2 linked regions of the Ovis aries genome follow. Each later gene encodes a partner of the first gene's protein in a complex. Links are inferred from orthologs where the notes say so. Each region holds a gene or a part of one and is shown on either strand. Other genes may lie near its edges. The genes, in order: FLT3 and FLT3LG.

Region 1 (3,814 bases):
TTTCTAACAAATTCCCAGATAATATGGAGGCTGATGCTGCCTGTTTGTAGACCACACTTTGAGTAGCAAGTGAAGACGCCACCTCCACTGAGCTTGAGAGACTGAAGTGTCTCCAGGGAGACTCTTCCCAAGCACACCATCACTCATTTCAGCATCTCCTCAAAGAATCTGGCTAAGTCTGTCTTTAACTCTTTCCAACAGCATATCTAAGTTTTGCAACCATAAACACCAGCCAGGACAGTATATCTTCCATGCAGAAAATGATGACGCCCAGTTCACCAAAGAGTTCACACTGAATATAAGAAGTAAGTGAAGAGGGTGGGATGAATGGGGAGAGTAGCATGGAGACATATATTACCATATTAAATTAGATGGCCGGGGGTGGGGGTTGCTATATAAGGCAGGGAGCTCAAACCAGGGCTCTGTGACAACCTACAGGGGTGGGATGGAGTGGGAGGTGTGAGGAGGTTCAAGAGGGAAGAGACGTACATATACCTATAGCTGATTCATGTTGATGTATGGCAGAAACCAACGCAATATTGTGAAGCAATTATCCTCCAGTTAAAAATAAATAAATCGAAATTTAAAAAAAGAACCAGAAGTGAAGTAGTCAAGAAATTTTATTTCACTCTTGTGACTCCTTAATGATGTATTAACTCAGACCAGAAAGAGCTAAGCAATGGCTTAGGGAAGGAGTGTGATGAAACTGTTTTGACCTGTGGAAGTGTTCTGAAATTGTATCTTCATATCTCCTGGCTCTGTTGATACACAGGCCTCTTTGAGGGCTCATCCTTTTAAGTGAAGATGCTGAGTCCATGTCCTCTCAGAAGGTGCTTTAGTGTATCACTTTACTGGTTTTAGTACTTTGAAAGATCATGTTAAGAAAAAGCCAAAAGTCATACTACCTGCCATTTAGTCATTTTAATAATTTTTGTTTCTTTGGTCTATGAAAAGAGGAGAGTACCTTTCATTGGACTTTTTCTGCAGATGCTTCTCCTGAAGCTAAGACTCATTTTAGGGTGACCAAGTAGATAGAGTCTATACCTGCATTCTCTCCAGGAAGGGTCTAGTGATGGACAGGGGGTGCTCCCCAGAGAGGTGGTAGGGCTGCCTGCACCGAAGGTGACAGGACAAGGGGAAAGGACCCCCCTCTTTGAGTCCTGCCTGAGACAGCCTCCAAGAAGCACAACTGCTTAGAGTGCATGGGCAGCCTATATAAACCTGACTTTGAAACCCTTTCTGAAAAGCGCACTGCTCCATGAGCTTGTTTTCCTCTTGTTTTCTACAGGGAAGCCTCAAGTGCTGGCTGAGGCATCTGCAAGTCAGGCTTCTTGCTCCTCTGATGGGTACCCTATACCATCCTGGACCTGGAAGAAGTGCTCAGACAAGTCCCCCAAGTAATGAGGACCTTGGCCTCTCTTGTGTTAGAATATGAAACTCTCTCTGACGTACTGACGCTTTCTCGTGAATTCAGTTTAAGAAGAAACGCTAGAGCATTTCAAATGCTTACCTTCCTAGTTGATCATAATTCTCAATGATCACAGATTGTTTCTGATAACCTATAATAGATGTGTCTCTTACAAACCCCATTAGAGAAACCCTTACTTCCAATCTGATGACAGTCATGCCCCTTTGACTTCTCTGCCATTTATTTTCAGCTGCACAGAAGAAATCACAGAAGGAATTTGGAATAAAAAGGCCAACAAGAAAGTGTTTGGACAGTGGATATCGAGCAGCACGCTGAACATGAGTGAGGCCATCAAAGGGTTCCTGGTGAAGTGTTGTGCCTACAATGCTCTTGGCACGTCCTGTGAGACAATCCTTCTGAGCTCACCAGGTAGACAGCAGTCGCTATTGAAACATGCCACCTTCTGGAATTCCCCACTAGAAGTTAGGCCCTGTCTTTAGCTTTTATTTGGGGGAGTTTTACAAGAGTGTGCAGATTCAGTGTGTGAGATGAGAAGGCTTTTTGAGTCAGGCAGGAATCCCCACTGAATATACATGTTCTGTAGTTTAAGGGCAGAGTGACTTCTACTGATGTTACTGTAACTCATGAATTCAGGTAACGTGGGTAGTACCCCAAACTCCTGGTATAGTGGGCATCTACCCTGACGACCCTGATGCTCAGTGGTACGGAATCTGCGTGCCAAGCAGGAGTCTCGAGTTTGATCCCTGGATCAGAACAATCCCCTGGAGAAGGAAATGGCAACCTGGAGAACCCAGGTTCTTGCCTGGAGAATCCCATGGACAGAGGAGCCTGGTGGGTTACAGTCCCTGCGGTCGCAAAGAGTCGGATGTAACTTAGCAACTGAACAACAGCAATGACAAACAGAGATCCAGATCCAGGGAGATGGATTTAGTCATTTGGAGTCTTTACCTCTTTCCCTTTCAGTTAATCTCCTTATTTGCCTTTTAGCCTGCTGTTTTATCATTTTTGGTTTGATATTTAGAGCCCTCTGAAATTAAGCAATTCTGAAACCTGGCCGCCTACACTAATGGTTTAGAATCACCAGCATCCCCAAACTAACTTCCCCACATTCATATGACAGCTTCACTGTGGGAACACAAGTTTCTTTTTTTTTTTTTTCAAAATGAGGTATAGTTGAGTTACAATGTTGTGTTAGTCTTGGGTGTACAGCAAAGTGATGCAGTTTTATATGTGCATTCTTTTTCAAATTCTTTTCCATTATCGTTTATTACAAAACACAGAATATGTTGATAGTTCCCTTTGCTGTGTAGTGGGACTGTGTTGTTTGTCTACTTTATGTCTAGCAGAAAAACACTCTTGATTCAGTCACATGTGTGACTTTTCAGATTCTTTTCCACTATAGTTTATTACAAGATATTAAATATAGTCCCCTGTGCTATAGACTAGGACTGTGTTGTTTATCTATTTTATATATGGTAGACAGATTTCTTCTTTTCTTTTTTTATCTGGCTTGACTATCCTATGGGTTTAAATAGATGTAATCCTGAAAACCCCTAGTAAATGATTTTTTAAATTGGGCTCAGAGGATTTCCCTGACCTACCAGTGGTTAAGACTCTGTGCATCAATGCAGGGGGCATGGGTTCCATCCCTGGTCAGGGGACTAAGATCCCACAAGCCACAGGGTGTGGCCAGATAAATAAATAAAATGGGTTCGGAATCATCTAAAATTTTCTGGGAAGGAAGTGTCCTTTATATGAATATGGCCTGACTTTTCTGTGGGCTTCTGTGTGTAGAGGGCTTGTAAGCATCACAAATAACAGCCCCTCGGGCAGGATGTGAGAGGTTTTAGCGAGCCTGCGATCTCCGGATTCTCACCCACTGCTCCGGGATGCTCTTCCGTTGCAGGGCCCTTCCCTTCCATCCAGGACAACATCTCATTCTATGCGACAATTGGCCTCTGTCTTCCCTTCATCGCCGTTTTAACCATGCTGATTTGTCACAAGTACAAAAAGGTAAAACCAAAGGTTAAAAAAAAAAAAAAAAAAGCCGTCACTGTGTCCCATATCTGAAGAATGCCCTGTGGCTGACTGACTCATTATTTCCTCTTGGAAGCAATTTCGTTACGAAAGCCAGCTGCAGATGGTGCAGGTGAGCGGCTCTCTGGATAACGAGTACTTCTACGTTGACTTCAGAGAATATGAGTATGATCTCAAATGGGAGTTTCCGAGAGAAAACTTGGAATTTGGTAAGAATCGGATGTTTCGCCTGTTTCCTTCCTGTGGGAAAATCCTCAGCGAATGCTCACTCACTCACACGTGTCTTGCAGGGAAGGTCCTGGGGTCGGGTGCTTTTGGAAAAGTGATGAATGCGACCGCCTACGGAAT
Region 2 (3,742 bases), on another chromosome or scaffold:
TTCGTTGCTGCCCTCGTTGTGGGGTACTCTCTAGTTTTGGCGTGCAGGCTTCTCATTGCAGTGATTTCTCTTGTTTTGGACCATGGGCTTTATCGCATGGGTCAAGCAGTTGTGCCCAGGGGCTTAGTTGCCCTGTGGCATGTGGAATCTTCCCAAGCCAGGGATGAAACCCATGTCCCCTGCATTGGCAGGTGGACTCTTAACCACTGGACCACCAGGGAAGTCCTATTAGTGACTTAAAAAAAAATCAATGAAATGCAACCTTACTACGTGCTAGGCACTGTTCTAAGCACTTTCTGTATATTCCCTCATTTAATCTTTGTGACAACCTTATGAAGTTGGTATAATAATTATACCCACTTTATGGATGAGGTGACTGAGGCCCAGAGAAGTGCACAGCCTACCCCCACCCCTTCCCCCAGGTCACACAGCCAGCACCAGGCAGGCCTTTTTTTCCTTTCCCTGGCCTGGCCCTACTTCTCAGTCACCTGACCTCTCTCCTGGCAGACTCCTCCACTCTGCTGCCCCCAAGGAGTCCTGGGGCCTTGGGAGCCACGTCCCTGCCGGCCCCTCAGTCCCCTCTTCTGCTCCTCTTGCTGCTGCTGCTGCTGCCGGTGGCCCTCCTGCTGCTGGCCGCTGCCTGGTGCCTGTGCCGGTGGAGGAGGAGACGGAGGACACCCTACCCTGGGGAGAGGGTGAGCCAGCGGGGTGCGCAGAGCAGGTGGAGAGGGTCCAGGGGCTGACCAGAGGTGGCGGATTCCATGGGCGACACGGTACCCTGCCCCTCCCATCCCCAGTATCCTCTGCTCCTGCGGCTACTGGAGGACCCTGGACTTGGTGTTGATGTGGGGGCCATGGGGGTAGGGGGTGACAGAGTGGGAGCAGGGAAGCAGTGGGTTAGCTCTGGATGTAAGGAAACCCCTCTGCGACCATGGAGGGGGACAGACTGAGAAGACAGACTGGAGGCTGGGTGAGGGTCCAGGGAGAGAGGACAGGGTCTGAGCAGGGGCCGGGACAGGACCACGGGGTGGAGAGGAGGGGACAGGCAGAGTCAGGGGTCAGGAGGGACGGGGCTGGAGAGTGACAGACGTGGTGGGGTCGGGGGTCTGGGGCGAGCAGGGAAGGGGAGGGGCGCGGGCAGAGGACGCTGGGTCTGGCCCAGTGCGGAACCTAGGAGGAGGAGGGACAGTCCGGCACTAGGCATTCTGGAAAGACAGTGAAGCTCAGCAGGCGGGGAGGTATTTGGATATAGGAGTCTGCAAGCCAGGAGAGAGCCGCCTCCAGGAACAGGCTCTGCAAAGCCCTCCAGGTATGAAAAAGCTCAGGTTATTCTAGCAGCTTTGTCCAGTCTGGGGGTGGGGTGAAAAAAAAAAAAATGGCACTGGAAGATGTTTGAGGTAACATCTTCCTAAGGAAGGGAAGCTGGGACTTCCTACCCCGGGGAAGCAAGAAGCCCCTGAGGCGAACCTGGGAACCTGGGGTTGTAGGTGGTACCCTGAGGGAGAAAGGCAGGGAGGGGCCTGTGGGTTCCCCAAGCGCCCAAAGGAAACATTTGGCAGCAATCGCTCACCTGTTGAGTGCCTCAGTGCCTCCGGCCTTGTGCTGAAGCTTTCTACGAATTAACTCACTTAATTGAGAAACTGGTGGCCATTATCTTCCCCATTTCCCTTTGGCGGAAACCGAGGCTCAGAGAGGTAAATCTTTTGCTGAAAGTCACACAGCTCCTGAGTGACAGCCAAGACTGGACTCTGGGCCCTCTGATTCTAGCATCTGTGCTTTTCACTCCTCTGCCTTAGTTTCCTTATCTGTACAAGAGACTCATAATCATCCTTTACGCTAGAGTTGTCAGGAGGTTAAGTGAAAGGACCACGAAAAACCCCCTAGAGCAATACTTACTGTCCATAGGAAACAGAATACAAGCCACACATGTGACTTTAAATTTTCTAGTAGCTGCATATTTTTTTTTAATTTTTAATTGAAGTATAGCTGATTTACCACATTGTGCCAGTGCATCTTTTAAAAACAAACAGGTTACCTGAAAGAATTTATGTTATTTCACCCTGTGTATCCAAAAATCTTGTCATCTCAATGTGCAATCAATACTTTAAAAATTATTGAGATATTTTTACATTCTTGTTTCCATACCAAGTTTTCAGAATCCAATCAATGTGTAATGTGATGCTCACAGCACATCTCAATTCATATGAGAAACTTTTATTAGAAATACTCGATCTATATTAAGATTCCATGAAACTTACAGTTGCTTAAGTAGATTCCTATACTCAAGTTCTTTGAAACCTACAGAAGTTTTCCAATAATTGGATCAAGGAACAGTTTCTGAATTCAATGATTTTTTTCATTTCAGCATTTGTTTTGGACAGTACTTTTTACTACTTTTTGTTTTTGAGATACAATTTTCGATTGAGAAATTGTCCTCTTATCCTTGTCCCTTTTCATACCCTGTTTTCCCACGCTCCCAATAACCACACTATTAGTTGAAGCTTAAATTAGATGAAATGAAAAACTAAGTTCCTCAGTTTCGCTGGTCACAATAGGAATGCCCAGTTTTCAACTGGGGCTGGGCTCAAGGGCTATCTTGGAAAGCACAGATCTAAAACATGTTCATCATTGCGCTAAGTTTTCTTTGACAGCAATGCCCAAACACATAGTGAGTGCTCACGGTGAATGGAGTTGTTTTTGAGCATTGAGTCTGTTCTTGAGCTTGTACCCTGAGCTTCCTACTTTCCCCTCCTCTGTCCACGGAACCTCAAACAGCCCAGTGAGTCATCTATCATCCCCTTTTACAGCGGAGAACACTGAGGCCGAGAGAGAGCAGTCACCTGCCAGCGGACACAGAGTCGGAACTTGGAGGAAGTCAGCTAGAACCTGGTCCTTTCCTTGGCCACACTGCTCCTGTCACTGTTCCCCCGGGATGGAGGCAACGCCAGCACCCACCATCGGCTCTCCCTTCCCCCCTTTGTACAAAGCCCTTGTCTCCAGGAAATTGTATATAAATCATCATTTTCTACCAGCTCTGGCCAGGTTTGTCTGTGGATGGGACACGGTGTGTGTATGGGGCCGTCTGGGTTCGGGTTTGGTTTTTCAGTTAATACAATGTTTCATTCAATACCTATTTTCTGAGTCCTCCTGGGGCCCAGGGCCAGAAGAGGGCAATGCTGGGACCCAGACGTGAATCGGAACCAGCCCCGCCCTCTCAGGATTCCTGGTCCAGACGGGAGAAGACGTCGGCCCCAGAGAGCCCCAGTACCCGATTACACACGCTCTAATGGAGGTGGCGTAGGCACTGTGAAGATCCCCCAGGCGGTACCTGAGCCTGCCCGAGCGATATCAGGGAGGTTCTCTAAAGGGAAGGACTCAAGCCAGATTTTGGAAAAGGGGGTGTGGAGGCGGAGGTGGGGGGACGGCATCCCAGTCAAGGGACACTTTCAAGGCAAAGACTTTATCCAGAAAATCCAGAAAGTGAGTAGCTCCTTTGGGGAACACTCGGGCATCTAGAAGTCATTCTTTCATTCGTCAGCTCTCAAGCGGAAGACTATCTCCACCTGTTTACCAGGTGGGGACACTGAAGCCCATACACGGCTAGGGATTTAGTCAGATCACAAGTCAGACAGGCACTGGAATTCACATCTCTAAGGCTTGGCGGAGCGCTGAAGGGCCAGCCCTCCTGGCCCCCTGCAGGCCACCACGTGCCCTGCAGCGCGACATCGCTTCAGGGGGTAAC

Evidence for each region.
Region 2: the proteins of FLT3 (region 1) and FLT3LG are in contact, whole or in part, in a crystal structure (PDB 7QDP), measured with the Homo sapiens proteins. The link is inferred for Ovis aries from reciprocal best matches to the Homo sapiens genes FLT3 and FLT3LG. Residues at the interface, in NP_004110.2 of Homo sapiens: Asp180, His279, Gly280, Phe281, Gly282, Met300, Ser301, Thr302, Tyr303, Asn306, Arg307, Met309, Arg311, Ser333; in NP_001191431.1 of Homo sapiens: His34, Ser35, Pro36, Ile37, Ser38, Ser39, Asp40, Lys44, Lys87, Glu99, Asn102, Thr103, Glu104, His106, Phe107.

What each region holds. Positions count from the first base shown.
Region 1 is NC_056063.1:32,310,274-32,314,087, forward strand, and holds part of FLT3 (receptor-type tyrosine-protein kinase FLT3), read left to right. Parts: intron 1-201; coding exon 202-305; intron 306-1,288; coding exon 1,289-1,397; intron 1,398-1,658; coding exon 1,659-1,837; intron 1,838-3,335; coding exon 3,336-3,442; intron 3,443-3,542; coding exon 3,543-3,675; intron 3,676-3,756; coding exon 3,757-3,814. UniProt on the Homo sapiens protein: Tyrosine-protein kinase that acts as a cell-surface receptor for the cytokine FLT3LG and regulates differentiation, proliferation and survival of hematopoietic progenitor cells and of dendritic cells.
Region 2 is NC_056067.1:55,671,184-55,674,925, forward strand, and holds the end of FLT3LG (fms-related tyrosine kinase 3 ligand), read left to right. Parts: intron 1-507; coding exon 508-695; intron 696-2,807; coding exon 2,808-3,014; downstream 3,015-3,742. UniProt on the Homo sapiens protein: Stimulates the proliferation of early hematopoietic cells by activating FLT3. Synergizes well with a number of other colony stimulating factors and interleukins. Required for the development of B cells, and dendritic cells (DCs).